Linked DNA regions of Astyanax mexicanus. The protein of the gene in region 1 interacts with the protein of each later gene in a biochemical or structural test. Links are inferred from orthologs where the notes say so. Each region holds a gene or a part of one and is shown in the gene's direction. Other genes may lie near its edges. The genes, in order: klhl20 and dapk1.

Region 1 (8,070 bases):
TTCTTTTATGACATATAGTCTTATTCTTTTATAATAAGTCTAAATTAAAATGAATACGATACCATTACAGAACCCGTGCACTCCGAGACCAAGCCATTTTCACAACAGGGGACGTATGATAAAGAATAATAAAGAATATTAATATAATTTTCACTGTGATGTTTCTCTCAAACACAAACAGAAACGTTTAATGTTAAAGCGAGAGCTGTAAACTCAGGTCTACAGTCAGTTCTCCAGATGCTATTGCTCCTTCTCTCTCTCTGTCTTTTTCTCACAGTAGGGAAGAGTAACACATGCGTGACCGTGGTGAAGACATTTTTAATAGCTTTCATAAGCCTTCCATCATCCTCACACAAACCACTTATTATATACACAGTCTCTGGAAATCATCTAAAGGAACAGGTGAAGGATTTGTACCTGCCTGTTGAACTCTTCACTAATCTCAAATTCCTCCCTTAGCCCCACTCAGTCATTAGTGTTTGTATCAGTGTCTCATCTGTAGCCCAGCCCTCTCGTTATCTTAACCAGGTGTTTCTTGTCTGTTTTAGAGTAAGAACAGGCCATTGTCTGATTTTGTGCTTTACAGTGTCAGTTTATGGTTGTTTTCCAGTTATGTTCTGTTGTAGCTTGTTTAATTTGTTTATGAAAATAACAGGGCGCACAATCTTTTTAAACTCTTTTTTTAACCCTAGGTATTGTGTAAAACTGGCATTTTCCTAACAAGGTAGATTTTTATGGATATTTTTGTATGATTTTAATTCACTCTTTGTGGTCTACCAACAGCTTCCTGCAGATCCAGTGAATCAGGAGTGTTTGGGTTTGGGAACGAGCCAAATAGTTGTAATTCTGCTGATTTAAGGCCGTCATTAATGGAAACACGTACTCGACTGACGTCTCGGTTGTGGTTGGGTCAGGAAGGTTCTCTGTAATGTACAGCAGGACCAGCAGAACTTTCCATCTGACCACACCGGACTGCTGAGTCTGAGCATACTTACAGCTCATTAAACCAACCTCATATATACAGAATATATACTGTATATGATCCCCTGATAGACTCAAGAGAGGGACAACTCCCCCACCTAGTGCTCCCATGGATGAAAAGTGGCACTAAATTGCCCCCTAGAGTGGCACAATAACATCAAGTGTCCTATTGGCTGCACATCCTGTGGGTAAAAAGTGATGGAGTGCCCACCAGGATGCCCCTTCTTGCAATAAATGATGATGATGATGCCCAGCTTTGCAGGAACAGTTTGAGGAAGCCCTCTTCCTGTTCCAACATGACTAAATGCACACCAGCGCACAAACAGAGCTCCATAAAGACGTGGATGATCTGGTGAGTTTAGAGGAAGAACTGTACTGATCTGCTCAGAGTCCTGATCTCAACCTGACAGAACAGCTTTAGGATGAATTAAATTGGAGACTGAGAGACAGACCTTCTCATTTCCATAAACACCATAAACACACTCCTAAACCTTGTGGAAAGCCTGAGTGCATGCTCAGACTGTGATGTATTGTGAAACTCTGTATTGTGCAGCAATAAATCAGACTCAGCTGTAAAACGTCTGGATCTAACGGCCGATCCTGTTTCTGAGAGCCAGAGAGACTCTCCTTCCACCACTCCTGAGAGATGATTGCCCTCTGCTGGGAGAGATCTGCATCACCAACAGCCCCTCACACACACAGCCCATAATAATACCAACAACAGCCCCTCACACACACAGCCCATAATAATACCAACAACAGCCCCTCACACACACAGCCCATAATAATACCAATAATAATGCAGTTTTTATTTCATTAGCTGAGTGAAACTGGCATGAGTATTTCAGTATTTAACACCAGTAAAGTAGTTAATTATTAGTATAAAATTTACATTAATAATACATTTTTTAAATAATGTATTTATTAAAACAAAAATAATCTACATATGAAATTAGATCACTAACATCCTCTGTGCACCACACACAAAAAAAATCAGAGTGTCTCTTTATAAGCTCATCATTCTCTTTAAGAGTAGATCAGGTGAGCTCTGTCTTTGGTGGATTGCTATTGTAACGGTGCAGCTACCTGGACGTGTTCAACAAACTCTTCTCAGCAGAGGAAACTGAGCTGCTGGTTGACGCTGTGAAGGAGCTCCAGCAGCTCATTTACGGGAACAGCAATGTTATTTTATTTACTATTCTGTTTATTGTTGATGTAAAAGTTGGGTTTGTGCTGCTGTGTGTTCATGTGTGTGTAATAAGTGGGGGTGTACGCTCGGCTCAGCGCGGCGCCTGTGTTACCGAGATAGCGATGAACGTCTGACTGTTGGCATCTGTCTAGGTTGTATTCAGTCAGTGGAACTCCTGTGTTTTCTGTTACGCCCATCAGTGTAGATATATTCAGAAGATCTGCTGCTGTTTAAACCAGGCAGGAGGAAGGAGTGAAAATAGACTGTTGGTGGGGTGTAAGATAGTGATGTGTTGTGTTGAATTAAAATATGTGTCTAACATATATGGATGCAACGTTAAATACCCTATAAATATAAATGATGACCTGTTTGAGCCGCCAAGGTCAAACCTGAGTCCAGTAACAGGTTTAACCTTCAACCAGCTGATCTACGAACTGCTGCCCACCCACTGACCCCCTGCAGGAACCCTGAGGAACTGCCCTGTTCTACACACACACACACACACACACACACACACACACACACACACACACACACACTCTTGCGCACACACACACTTGTTCCTCCCTCCTCCCCCTCCTTGCTCCTTTCTCCTGGTTGTCGGGGTAACCCCCTAACAAAGCCATCATTTTACCAATTTCCACAGAAACAGGTGCTGGCACAAAGGCCGCTTCCTCGGCGTCTGAAAGGGAAGGTTAGTGCGGTTCATGGGAACCCGGGAGGACAATCTCAGGCCTGTCCAAGTGTCGTCCTCAGACTCCCACATAAAAGGAGGCTAATTTGTTGTCGCTGTTTTCCCAGGAGGAGGAGGGGGGAGAGGGAGGGGCACAGGAGCTCAGAGTAACACACACAGACCCTCTGAGACCCGCCCACAACCCAAGGGCGGAGTCACGCTCTTCGAAGGCTAGGGGCGAAACATTAATTGGGTACCAACTGCACGTCATGAGGCGTGTATATACTAGAGGGGGCGTGGCTAAAACTGAAAACTTAAATGTAAGAGAAACATTGTGCCTCATAAACACTAGAGTCCCTCATCCTGTACCGTCTAATACAGTTCACCACACCGCGACTACAGCCCCAGCTTCACAACATTTTCTCAATGTTACACTTAACGTCTAAAAACAGGTGGATTATAGATTATCCAGGTGTGAGAGATTTCCAAAAATGTCATGTTTTACATTTTACTGTAAATTTAAATTACACAAATCTTTCTTTTTCTATCTGAACTGAGTTTTACAATGTCTGTTTCTCAGCTGATAATGTGTTTATTTCAGAATATTGATTTATTTAAAAATGATTTGTCCTAATACCATGTGATCAGCATAACATCACACCATTTCTCCTACAGTGAGAATACTGAACACACTGCGGGAGCTCTTACACTGTAATTACAATGTTAATTACACTGTTATATACACTGTTAATTACAGTGTTATAGTGTTACCTACACTGTTAATTACACTGTTACATACACTATTACTTACATTGTTATTACAGTGTTATTTACACTGCAATTACACTGTAATTACACTGTTAATTACAATTTTACAGTGTTAGACTGTTACAAACACTGTTCAAAAACAAGTGTTAGTCTCTTTAGCAGTCTCATTTCTGGTTATATGTTTTATTTAATATTTACTGTATTAGTGAAAATTTAAATATATATAAATAGTTGTGGAAGTGGATTTTTGGCTGGAAATACAGAAAAATACAGAAATCAAAGAATGTGTAGATTAGACCGAAAGCTCCAGTCTCTGATGTTTATTGTTAATAATGTTGTAAATGTATTTAGTGAATCTGTTCACTGTGCTGAGTGTGTAACTCCGCCCCTCTCGCTCAGTGAACACTCACAGACCAATCTCGACCAATCACGTGCGGCTTTAGCAGAAAAAAGAATCAGTTCACAATCAGGAGCCGACTCCCTTCACTTTAAAGAGTCGGTTCTTAGAGCCGAATCGTTCAGTGCTGTAATATAACCAGATAATCTGGTGATGGTTAAACACGGGTCTACCTGAGTTGTACAGGTGAGCCCGGTGTGAGATTAAGGTGAGCTGTAAGAGAACCCTGCAGAGAAATTCAGTTTATTTTAAAATCTTTTGAAAATGTTTCATTTTCATGTTTCTGCATATTCATATGATGTGAGGAATATGATTAGACTCTCTTTAGACTGATATGACATTACCTTTTTTATTTAACTTGATTTTGTTCAATTTTTTTATTTGCATTTTCATGCATATTTTTTTGTCTGTTTTTTTTATTATATTTCTTGCTAGCTGATTATTATGTTTTCATATTATATGTTTGTTCAAAAAACAAAAAAAAGGAAAACTAATGAAAATTTTAAATAAATAATAAAAATTTACACTGTTTTTAAAATGTTCCATTTGTGCTCAACCTGATTAATGTTAAAGTAGCAGTCCTTAAGATTTTTAATTTGAAATGATTTTAAAAACAATAATATTACTATAAAATGTTATAATAAATGGTATCAGTGTGCTTATGTATACTATTTCTGTAAAATCACATATACTTATTCTATAAACAGTGTGGTCTGGTAGGTCCCGGGGCCTTTTTCTGGCTGTAATAGATTATGATTTTTTGTACCTGAATAAGTGAGGTAATGCTAAAGGTGCTGATACAAGAACTACTGCAAACACTGAGATATCAGAACAACAAACTCTGAAACACTTTCTTTATCTGATCATCACATCATTACACCAAATAAACACAGAATTAAAATAAAGAGCTAAACAGTCCTCTCTATAATCACCAGATTTATCCAGTACAGTGCACAGAGTTAGCTTAAAGTACTTTTAAAACCTGCAATTAAACATTCTCACCAAAAACCTGCAGACTGTCTCTTTAATCTGATCCCCGGAGCCCCGCGGTGTGACGGTAGAGAGCCGGTGAGCTGAGCCGGGACTGGGCTTCCCTGCGCGGGTCAGCAGATGGCGGAGCTGCGCTGTGGACCGGACCCCTCTCTATAACCCGTAGTAGCAGCAGCGGCTCCGCTCTGAATCCGCCCCCAGCCTCGGTTCTGTGTCTTTCAGCGCAGTTTAATGAGCGGCTCGTCCCCGCGGAGACTTACACCACCACTCTGGAGCGCCTGAATGGACAAATAAGGTAAATTAAAGCCGGGTTTAACGCTGCGATCCGCGGGTACTGTCCCGCTTACCGACCCTATTAGCTACCTGTCTGCCCCCGCTAAGCGCTTAGCAAGCGTATCCCCATAGCCTAGCCTAGCTTAGCCTAGCTCCAACATCCAGCTCAGCGGCTGAACCGAGCCCTGGCGGCCCGGTCAGCAGGATCTCACCCTAATCACAGTTATACTGAATTAATTTACCTCTCATTTTACTAAACTAACTGTGCTTCAACTGTGTCTCGTCTTTTATTAATATATATAAACTGCTAGCTTAGCTTAGCCTGGCTAATCTAACTAACTATAGCAGTAAAACAGGGCAGGGTTGTTAGCCAAGATGCTAACTATCTGTAATTTAACATTTAGCTAGTTCAATAATAATGATAAGATTAATAATAAAATGGTCTTAAAACTCACAAAACGACCAACATACAGCTGCCAGTTCACTGCTTACCCCGATGATTAGTTAGCTAAATGAATTATTCAACTCAAAGTCAGTGTTTAGAGGCAGAAGTGTGTACAGTTATTTACCTCAGATTAGCTAACATAGCTAATCTAAGCTAGTGCTGGAGCTGCTGTGAGTTGTGGTCTGAAATCTTTGCCGAACCCCCGAACTCACACTGCCGCTACAGCACAAACCCACACCGGCCTGTGGGTCTCCGGAGGTTCGGATCTTTAGTTTGAGTTAGTGGGGTAATATAACATAACATCAGAACATCTAATCTAATGTACAGGTTTTAGATTCCTAGCTCCAGTGCACAGCTAATAACGCTAACTAAATAATAAACTTCACACTCCACTCATCTCGTAATCAGCGAGGGTTAAATTTAAGGGTATTTTTTGTTATTAAATGTTTTATTTGTTTCAAAGTAATTGCAATATACAGGAAAATAACACATTAATCAATCTAAAAAACAACAACATTTGTTTAGGTGACACATCTGTGTATAAACTTGGCAGAGTAGTAATAATAGTATTAAGATCTTCTTTAACTGTATGTTAAATGCTGAGAGAAATCATGAATTCCTGTACAAAAATTACTGTGGAGCACAGGGAGTAAACACGACTGAAAAGTGCAGCACTACAAATGTGAATCTTTAATCTCTCTGACAGCTGAAACCTACAAAAACAAAGCGTAGATGGTGTACCAGTAAATGTACATTTTATGTTAAGACAAACCATATTATTCACAATAATAATGTAAAATATATACAAACCAATATAACAATTCAAAAGTCTATGGCTATTACATAATGTAACATATCATAAAATGACCACAGATTCAATCATTAAAATTAAGCTAAGGTTACAGGTTTAAAATAATAATTTTAAATGTCTTCCAAAGTCACTTTTTGGTGCTACCAGGTTAAAGCTATTTCTGCTTACACTATTCTTGACTACATTCTTAGTTTATAATTTCCTGAAATGTTATTTGGATTTTTTTCAGGGGTACCTGTGTGCGCTCGGACTCCGCCGCCATGGACATCACCAGCCGCTGCACTCTGGGTGACCCCAACAAGCTGCCGGAGGGCGTGCCGCAGCCGGCCCGCATGCCCTACGTCTCGGACAAGCACCCGCGCCAGACGCTGGAGGTCATTAACCTGCTGCGCAAACACCGGGAGCTGTGCGACGTGGTGCTGGTGGTGGGCGCCAAGAAGATCTATGCTCACCGCGTCATCCTGTCGGCCTGCAGCCCCTACTTCAGGGCCATGTTCACCGGGGAGCTCGCTGAGAGTCGCCAGACGGAGGTGGTCATCCGCGACATCGACGAGCGCGCCATGGAGCTGCTCATCGACTTCGCCTACACATCACAGGTCTGAGCTAATCTCAAGTTCTATTCTAGTCATGGATGTACCTCAGCAGTGCTGCCCAAGTTACATATAAGTAAAAATTACACAGAGAAGGGCAGTCAGTCTTTTGATAAACAAACAAATGCTAAAGCAAAGTTAATAAATTTTTTTTAATATAAAATTCCGGTACAACTCATATCTCAGATCATAGCCCTGAGAGGAAGTAGAGAGTGTGGGCTGGCTAATAAAAAAAAATCCTAAAAATAGAGGTAACCCTTAATTTTTTCGCTTATTTGGCCAAATGTGCTTATTAACCACATTGGAATAACGTGGTATTCTACCTTGGGACGGCAATTGAAGCTCGGTGCGCTGTCATTCTTTACACTATACAGTTTACTATACAGTTTATGCATCCCCAAAAGGAGATGCTTTAAACAGAGTTAATTTATATTGAAAGTTAATAGACCACGTCATATTATATGCGGCTGTGGCGTATGTCATTGGTGCGGTGTGAGGACTAACAGGTGTGATCTGCAGGTAACTGTGGAGGAAGGTAATGTACAGACCCTGCTGCCCGCCGCCTGCCTGCTGCAGTTAGCTGAGATCCAGGAGGCCTGCTGCGAGTTCCTCAAGCGGCAACTCGACCCTTCCAACTGCCTGGGCATCCGGGCCTTCGCTGATACCCACTCCTGCCGAGAGCTGCTGCGCATCGCCGACAAGTTCACCCAGCACAACTTCCAGGAGGTAGGTTCTTCCCTCCGGCTCCGGTGGTGTGATGGAGGAGGAGGAGGTTTCAGGAGCGTTCCTCAGTAACAGCTTCACCTGGGTTGTGTGTGGGTCGCCTGCTCTGGGTGTTTATAAAGCATCTGGCAGAAAGCTGATTCTTAAATGTTAGAGTGAGCATCACTCCGAACACTTTCTCAATCCTGACACTTGATTGTATTTTGACTGGATTAGGTGTGAAAATGCAG
Region 2 (7,815 bases), on another chromosome or scaffold:
CTACTGATTTTCCCATAATGCCAAAACAGTTCCAATACAATTTGAAAGAGTATAACATAGGCTATGACTCCTGCAAGTTTGGGCAAATTTCACTGTATTGTTTATTTTATATACATTTTTTTATTTTTTATTCATGCTTAAAATTAAATTTCTCATGATTTTCTTATAATGCCAAAACAGTTCCACTACAATGTGAAAGAGTAAAACATAGGCTATGACCCCTGCAAGTTTGGGCAAATTTCACTGTATTGTTTATTTTATATTAATTTTATAATTTTTTATTCAGGCTTAAAATTAAATTTCTCATGATTTTCCCATAATGCCAAAACAGGTCCACTACCATTTGAAAGAGTCTGTCCTAGGCTATGACTCCTGCAAATTTGGGTAAATTTTAGTTTAGTTTATTTTATATTAATTTGTTTTATTTTTTTATTCATGTTTAAAATTAAATTTCTCATGATTTTCCCATAATGCCAAAACAGGTCCACTACCATTTGAAAGAGTCTGTCCTAGGCTATGACCACAGTCTAGTCTAGAAATCACCTGTTAAAGACACCTGTGCTAGAAACAGGGGGTGTGAGTTTAAAACCATCACCTTAAATCCAATACCTCAAGTGCAAGGGGCTATCTATAGTGAAACCTGCAGAAATACGCAGTGCTGATAGCCTGAGGAACTGATAGGACTGCCTCACAGTGGCCCTGTGATGGCTTATTGGAGAATGAATTTACATCTGATACTAGCAAGTATTAAAAATAAACAAAACAGTGAAATTTGCCCAAACCTGCAGAGGTGATAGCCTAGGACAGACTCTTTCAAATGGTACTGGACCTGTTTTCAAGGATTCAAGGAGATTTTACTGTCATTCGTATCACATGTGGTTCATGAGGTGGAACGAAATTGTGATCTCACGATTCAGTTTACACCCAAGAGCTGTTGTTAAAATAGATATATAAATAAAGTAAGACAACAAAATAAAATAATACAATAAAAATAGAATATAACAAAATGAAGATAAGATAAAATAAACAAAACAGTACAACTTGTCATAGCCTAGGACAGACTCTTTCAAACGGTCATGGATCTGTTTTGGCATTATGGGAAAATCATGAAAAAAAAAATATTTTAAGCATAAATAAAAAAAAAATTAAATTATTATAAAATAATCAATACAGTAAAATTTGCCCAAACTTGCAGAGGTGATAGCCTATGTTGTACTCTTTCAAATGGTCATCGACCTGTTTTGGCATTATGGGAAAATCATGAGAAATTTAATTTTAAGCATGAGTAAAAAAAAATAAAAGATTAATATAAAATAAACAATACAGTGAAATTTGCCCAAACTTACAGGAGTCATAGTCTAGGACAGACTCTTTCAAATGGTCATGGACCTGTTTTGGCATTATAGGAAAATCATGAGAAATTTAATTTTAAGCATGAAATTTGCCCAAACTTGCAGAGGTGATAGCCTAGGACAGACTCTTTCAAATGGTAGTGGACCTGTTTTGGCATTATGGGAAAATCATGAGAAATTTAATTTTAAACATGAATAAAAAAAACAATTAATCTAAAATAAACAATACAGTGAAATTTGCCCAAACTTGCAGGAGTCATAGACTATGTTCTGTAAGAAAGAACATATCCAAAGATCCTCTCGCTCACACGGACCAGGAAGCTTCCAGCGCTACCTGACTTCAGCAAATCCTCCGCCTCCTCACGAGTAATAATACCTGTGTACAAAGAGAAAGAGCTCAAATCAAAAACGTTTAATCACGTATTTCAATTTATTGACTGTAAGATAATTATTTATTATGTTAGTAATATTGCAAACAAATATAAAGAAATAGCATTAATCCTTTGAAATAATAATAATAACAAACCCAGTAATTATAAGCAGAACACTTAGACAGAGAGAGAGAGTTTTTTCTTGGATTAAAGCTCACAGATGGCCCACACTTTGAACTCACCATGAAACCAAGGGGCAACTCGACTCTCGCCTTGCTGTAAACAAACTCTGAGGGTCTGCTCCTCTTTAAACCAGCGAATAATTTCATCCCTGCTGGACGTCGACAGCGACCGGCACATACCTGGCTTCCTGTTGATCATAACGGAAAAAAAACGAATTCAGAAAAGCTTTAAGAAAGACAAGCTGTCTGACTGCCTCTCTCATACCAGAAAATCCTACATGACATCAGCTCTACAAGCCCAGGAAACAATAGAGGGTTAAACTGATAAGCATATATGACACAGCCTAGAGCAGTGATGGTATAGTTACTTTGAAAAAGTAATCCGATTACTGATTACTCCTTAAAAAAAACTTAGTTACTTTATGGATTACGCGATGTGTGTGTGTGTGTGTGAGGTGGAGAGAGAGAGAGAGAGAGAGAGTAACGCACAGTGACTTGGATAAGTAACTTTAATCTGATTACTGCATTGGAAATAGTAACGCGTTAGATTACTCGTTACTGAAAAAAAGAGTCAGATTAGAGTAACGCGTTACTAAGTAATCATGTAGTTGTAAAGGCAAAATCCAGCAAAAATATATAAACAAATAAATTAATAAATATAGCCAAAAAGAATGGGTGACAGAATTTCATTAATAATAACTGATTTAGGCTTGTAGCTCTGGTGCAAAATCAAAGAAGCAAATTTCAGTAATTTCCTAGATGAAAAACTATGTTCAGGCTTTAAGTGAATTTGTCAAAATTATTATTTTTATGAAATCATCCTTTAAAATATATATTTTTTTATCATGTTGATAAGTTAGGCCTTGTTAATTTGTAAGACAGATTTACTATCAAATCAATGCACAATAAAATATGTAACAAAACATAATTAAAATATGTTAAATAACTCGTCAGAAATTCATATTATATTGTGTTACATCATATTGTGAAAATCACCCAAGGCACTACTAGTAACATAAGGCCACTCAGTGCTGGTGTGGGTTACAGAGGGGCCTACATCGTTCCAATCCACAGCCTCTCGAGGTCAGTCACACAACTGATCATCATTGTTTGTATCTGTTCACTCAAGAGTTAACGCCCAGTCTTTTTTTCATGAAGCACTCACGCCTGACTACATAATGAGCGTGGTGTCGTTCTCACAGGAGCAAAGAGCACTACAGTGTATTGAATACTACACTTCACTATAACACTAAAGCTACAATATTTGACATGGCTTAAAGGGGAAGTCCACCTGTTTTAATATTTTTATATAAATAAATATTTAGTCATTTGTTTTACATTAGTTTTGTGATAACATGATATTCATAGATTGTATTTTTTTTAAATTGCAAAACATTTGGCTATATTTGTGTTTTATATCTGGACCACTGATACCTATCACCACCATTGTAAAGAATTTAGAATCTGTAATTTTCTATATTGTGAATTTAACTACTCTGACAGAAATATGCAAAAAAAAAAAAAAAAAATTAAAATTCCACTGTAAGCAGTCCTAAGTAAATCTACATAAGTAATTCCAAATCCAAATATATTTTTGTGCGTATAAGGGAATCGATGAAACTATAAAAAAAAAATATTTCACTTACTTTGCATCAAAATCTGCACAATTAAATTAATAAATCCCAAATGAAGAGAAGCAGATGTCAGCCTCAATGTGAGATATTACAAAAAGTTTTGAATACACTGGCTGATTAGAAATTCAATCAAAAATAAAAGCAATAATAATAATAAAAATAGTAATGCAATAAAAGAAAATCAAAATAAGATAAAAAGCAATGATACAAAACTATTAAAATAATAATATAATAACTATAATAATAATAATAAATACATAAAATGAAAATAAAATAAGGAAACAAAATAAATAAATAAATAAAAATAAAAAGATAATGAGAAATGAGACGGGGCCTAAACACCCTGATTTTTGCTGACTCCACTCTCAGCTCAAAATTGAAAAAAAAGGCTAAGAAATAGCAGGGGTAGTTTGGGAGGGGTACTGGGTGATGTATGGGTTTAGGGGCGGGGCAGGAGGGACAGCTGATTGGCTGAGCTGCTGCAGCAGCAGCACTGTGCCTCTGATACCTGTGAAACTGTGAATCGTGAGTATCAGAGTACCAAAGTACACGGACACCTAATCCACACCATCATCCATTTCCCCTTGAGAGAGGTGGAAATGACAACAATACAAGTTTTTTTTAAGGCAAGGAAAGGGTTATAAAAATAATTAAGCAGGACTGGTATGTTTCATTACTTTTAAGGAACACATTTCAGCTAATATTGGAAAAAATATGGTTTAGGGTTTAAACAGTGTACACAATAATAAATAGGCTTTTTTACTTCCCTATATAAATATATGAAGGATAATTAAACAATGTGCATAATGATATATATATATATGCTTTTGCATTTACTTCACTATATAATTATATAAAAATTAGTTTTTTTTATCATCAGCTCTCTATAACTGCCATTGAGGGGAGACACTAATGGCTTGAGGACATTGCCCCCCTGAGTACTCGCTCTATACCGCCTCCTCCAGACAGGAACGATTGGACACACGCGCGCGAGCGCACTCTCTCTCTCTCTCTCTCTCTCTCTCTCTCTCTCTCTCTCACACACACACACACACACACACACACCTACTTTCTGTTGCAGTCCTCCCATTTGCCTTCATTTCCTACCACCAGTCCATGTCGGTGTCTCTGCGGAGCGCTAGGTTCAGGCTATGCCGCCGTTAACGTTACCGCCAGCGCCTCACCCACCCGGACTTTACCTGCTTCCCTCAGACCTAACGACCGCTCGAGCTTAGAGGTAACTTTAACGCTGGTTAACGACAATTTCGGTATAATTTAGCCGCTTTTTATTGCGCCAGTGTTTAAGCTCTTGTTCCGGGTGAGGGTATCGGTGCATCCTAACGTTGAAGACACGTTTCTCGGTTAATTAAACGATATTGGGGCTTTGTTTTGCGGCTGTCGCTTGATTTAGAAGGTGAAGAGCCTCGTTTTAGAAACGAGCGTTACTGTTTTTTTTAAACGTTAGTTAACCTAGGTTAGCTAACTAGCTAACATTTAAATGTAGTTTAAGCTAAATTTTGTGAAGCTGTATCGTTAGTACAGCAGCAGCAGCACACATAGGCTATATATATGTAACTTAACGTTACTACGTTTAAGTAAGCGTAAAACGTTACGACGTTTAATACAGCGTAACGTTCAAATGTAACTTAGTTAACCTAACTAGCTAGTTTACATTTTGTGTGAAGCTGTATCGTCAGTACAGCAGCTGCTGCTTTTAATACACACACACTAATACACACACTATGTGAAAGCTTGGTGATTGAATAGGCTGACTAGCTATGTTCAAGTAAGCGTAAAAAAACTGCGTAACGTTCAAAGAAATTGTTCGTTAACACATTTTTTCGTATGATTATTAATTAGCACTTGTCTTAATATTTTACGTTGAATGTCCTTTGCTTTGTTGAGCTACACTGGTGATGTTTTATCGTGAAGGGAAGGGGAGACCCAAGCCCAGCTGATATAGTAGCTAGCTAGGTTAGCTAACGTTAACTAGCTAGTTAATAGATAACCTAAGTTAGCTTAGACACGTTCACCTACAGATACTGCCTAGCTTTAAGCTAACTACTTAGCTAGCTACGTGCGACGGTGTGTTTTTAAAGACGTTGTGAAAACGTGTGTAACATCTCCCTCCTTGTCTACTACATCCTTCCTTCCTTCCTTCTTCTTCCAGCGCGAATATGAGAAGGGTTCGCCGAAAGCTGTCATGAGGCTGGGCGGCTGATTTGGGAATCCCGCTGTGCAGGAGCAGCAGCAGCACCACCAGCACTATGACTGTCTTCAACCAAGAGAATGTGGAGGATTACTACGAGATAGGAGACGAGCTTGGAAGGTAATTAATGCTTTTTAGCTTAATTTCAGCTTTTTTAGGGGGCTTTCCCCAGTTTTTTCTCAGCTGGCACAGTCGGGACTGGGCGTGGACTGACATGTAGCTCTAGCTATTTCTCTTATTTTTGTGGTGAGAGAGATGGGTTGGGTTTGTCTCGTTTTCTGTCAGTTCATTTCCCCATCCATGCACACATTCAAGTCAGTTAAGCTAAGCTGAACTGATCTGATCTGAAGACGCTCTTCAAATCAGACACACAGTGATGTATCAGGCAGAATGTAATGGTCACTCATCACAGATGTGGCTCTGGTGTCTTCTGCTAAATGGACTTGGACAGGGCAGATGTGCCCTCGAACCCCATTCACGCCTGTCAGTCAGAAAAGCTTTGATATTTTAACAGCCAGACTTGGTGCTGTGCCTCTTATTGATTGATGTTCAGTACGTCCAGTGGATGGATGTGACAGCCTGCTGTGCAGATTGGTCATCTGAGATCTGCACCTGCCAAGATGACGGTCCAACCAAGATGTCCCTCAATTTGCACACTGACGGTCATGCCGACCTTACACCAAAAGATTTTCCAGCGATTTCACTGTCGCAGACAAATTTACAGTTGTGGTCACGTTATCTCGATCATTCATTGTAAGGATTTGGTTAGGATTTAAGGTTTAAGTCAGTCTTTTTCTTAACCTGGTGTTCAGATACATTCAGATACAGATACATAAACCGTGTTTAATATTATCAAAAGTTTAGACACTTGGCTCACACAATGTCAATAACCAATAGGAGAGCTTTAAGAATCTGCAAGGCAAGCGTGGGGACATTTTCGTTCACTCAAACAGGGTCGTGTCCACATTCTGCAGTTTCTTGTCTTTTCCTCTGTTGGCTGTTTTTTCTAAACAAATCACTGCACACACACTTTCTGCTCATTGTTAAACTGCTTCTTTTCCTGTTAAACGCCACCAGAAATATGATGGGGAAATAATCTCTACTAATAATAGTGACCCAATAGATCCCCAATCTTTCAAAATCTTAGTCTGTGACTTGTCTTTAGATGTGAGAAAGTGTCAGACTTTAGTCTATTAAAGTCTTTTCAGAGTCTTTTCAATATAATCTAGTGTATGGGTAGCATTAGATGATGGAAAGCTCATTCTTTGGTTGGATTTTCAGAGAAATCCCTAATCAGAAATCACATTTTTTTCCCAGCTGCATATCATGAGGATGCAGATTCTCATTGACTTCCAGGCGTGTGGGTGGTGTTGTTCAACACGGATGAGTGTGCTCGTTGTGTGGGCTGCAGCGAATTTGACTCTTTTTGTGTTTAAGAGAACTGATTTATGTGTCAGTTCTCGTGAAGCCGCCCCTAAAAGCAGGGAAGTCGTATCTATGCCCCATACATAGATTGATATGGTTGTGTAGGAGAGATGGTACCCTGCCAGAAAATCAAAAATATTTAAAGGCCTTGAGGATGATTTTGTTGTCTATGTCTTTCTGTAAATTAGGCTTGTTGCAGTTAAGCTATTCGTATAAGAAGTGTGACAGTGTTGTGCTGTAGTTAGGCTAATTCATTCAACTGGTTCTGTAATAGAGAAGTGAGTGAAGTGTATTTGATTACACCAAGATGGGAACTAGAAACTCGTTCTTGTGCTCTCTCTGTGTGTGTAAGAACTGGATTAGTCAGGTGTTAAAATGTGTCATTTGGGATATGCAGTATGCATTATTCAAATAAACATCGATTGCATGCCGAATGAGTGTGTTTCCGTCAATTTCAGTTTGCATATACAATAATATTGACTGTGTCTGGGCCTGCATTTACTCCTATATGGGAAATTCAATGTGCCTTTGACTCACAGCACTTGTTTGGAGAGGTTGAGTGCCAGCCTTTAAATGCTGTCAATAACTCTTAGTATACTGATTTTTTTTTTTTTTTTAGACTTTCAGTTAAGCAGATCTAAT

Evidence for each region.
Region 2: the proteins of klhl20 (region 1) and dapk1 are reported together in a solved structure, tested with the Homo sapiens proteins (2 studies listed by BioGRID and IntAct, with this or other methods). The link is inferred for Astyanax mexicanus from reciprocal best matches to the Homo sapiens genes KLHL20 and DAPK1.

The regions. Positions count from the first base shown.
Region 1 is NC_064415.1:59,187,972-59,196,041, reverse strand, and holds the start of klhl20 (kelch-like protein 20), read left to right. Parts: upstream 1-5,051; 5' UTR 5,052-5,293; intron 5,294-6,756; 5' UTR 6,757-6,787; coding exon 6,788-7,123; intron 7,124-7,636; coding exon 7,637-7,843; intron 7,844-8,070. UniProt on the Homo sapiens protein: Substrate-specific adapter of a BCR (BTB-CUL3-RBX1) E3 ubiquitin-protein ligase complex involved in interferon response and anterograde Golgi to endosome transport.
Region 2 is NC_064429.1:18,859,995-18,867,809, reverse strand, and holds the start of dapk1 (death-associated protein kinase 1), read left to right. Parts: upstream 1-4,573; 5' UTR 4,574-4,776; intron 4,777-5,709; 5' UTR 5,710-5,806; coding exon 5,807-5,868; intron 5,869-7,815. UniProt on the Homo sapiens protein: Calcium/calmodulin-dependent serine/threonine kinase involved in multiple cellular signaling pathways that trigger cell survival, apoptosis, and autophagy.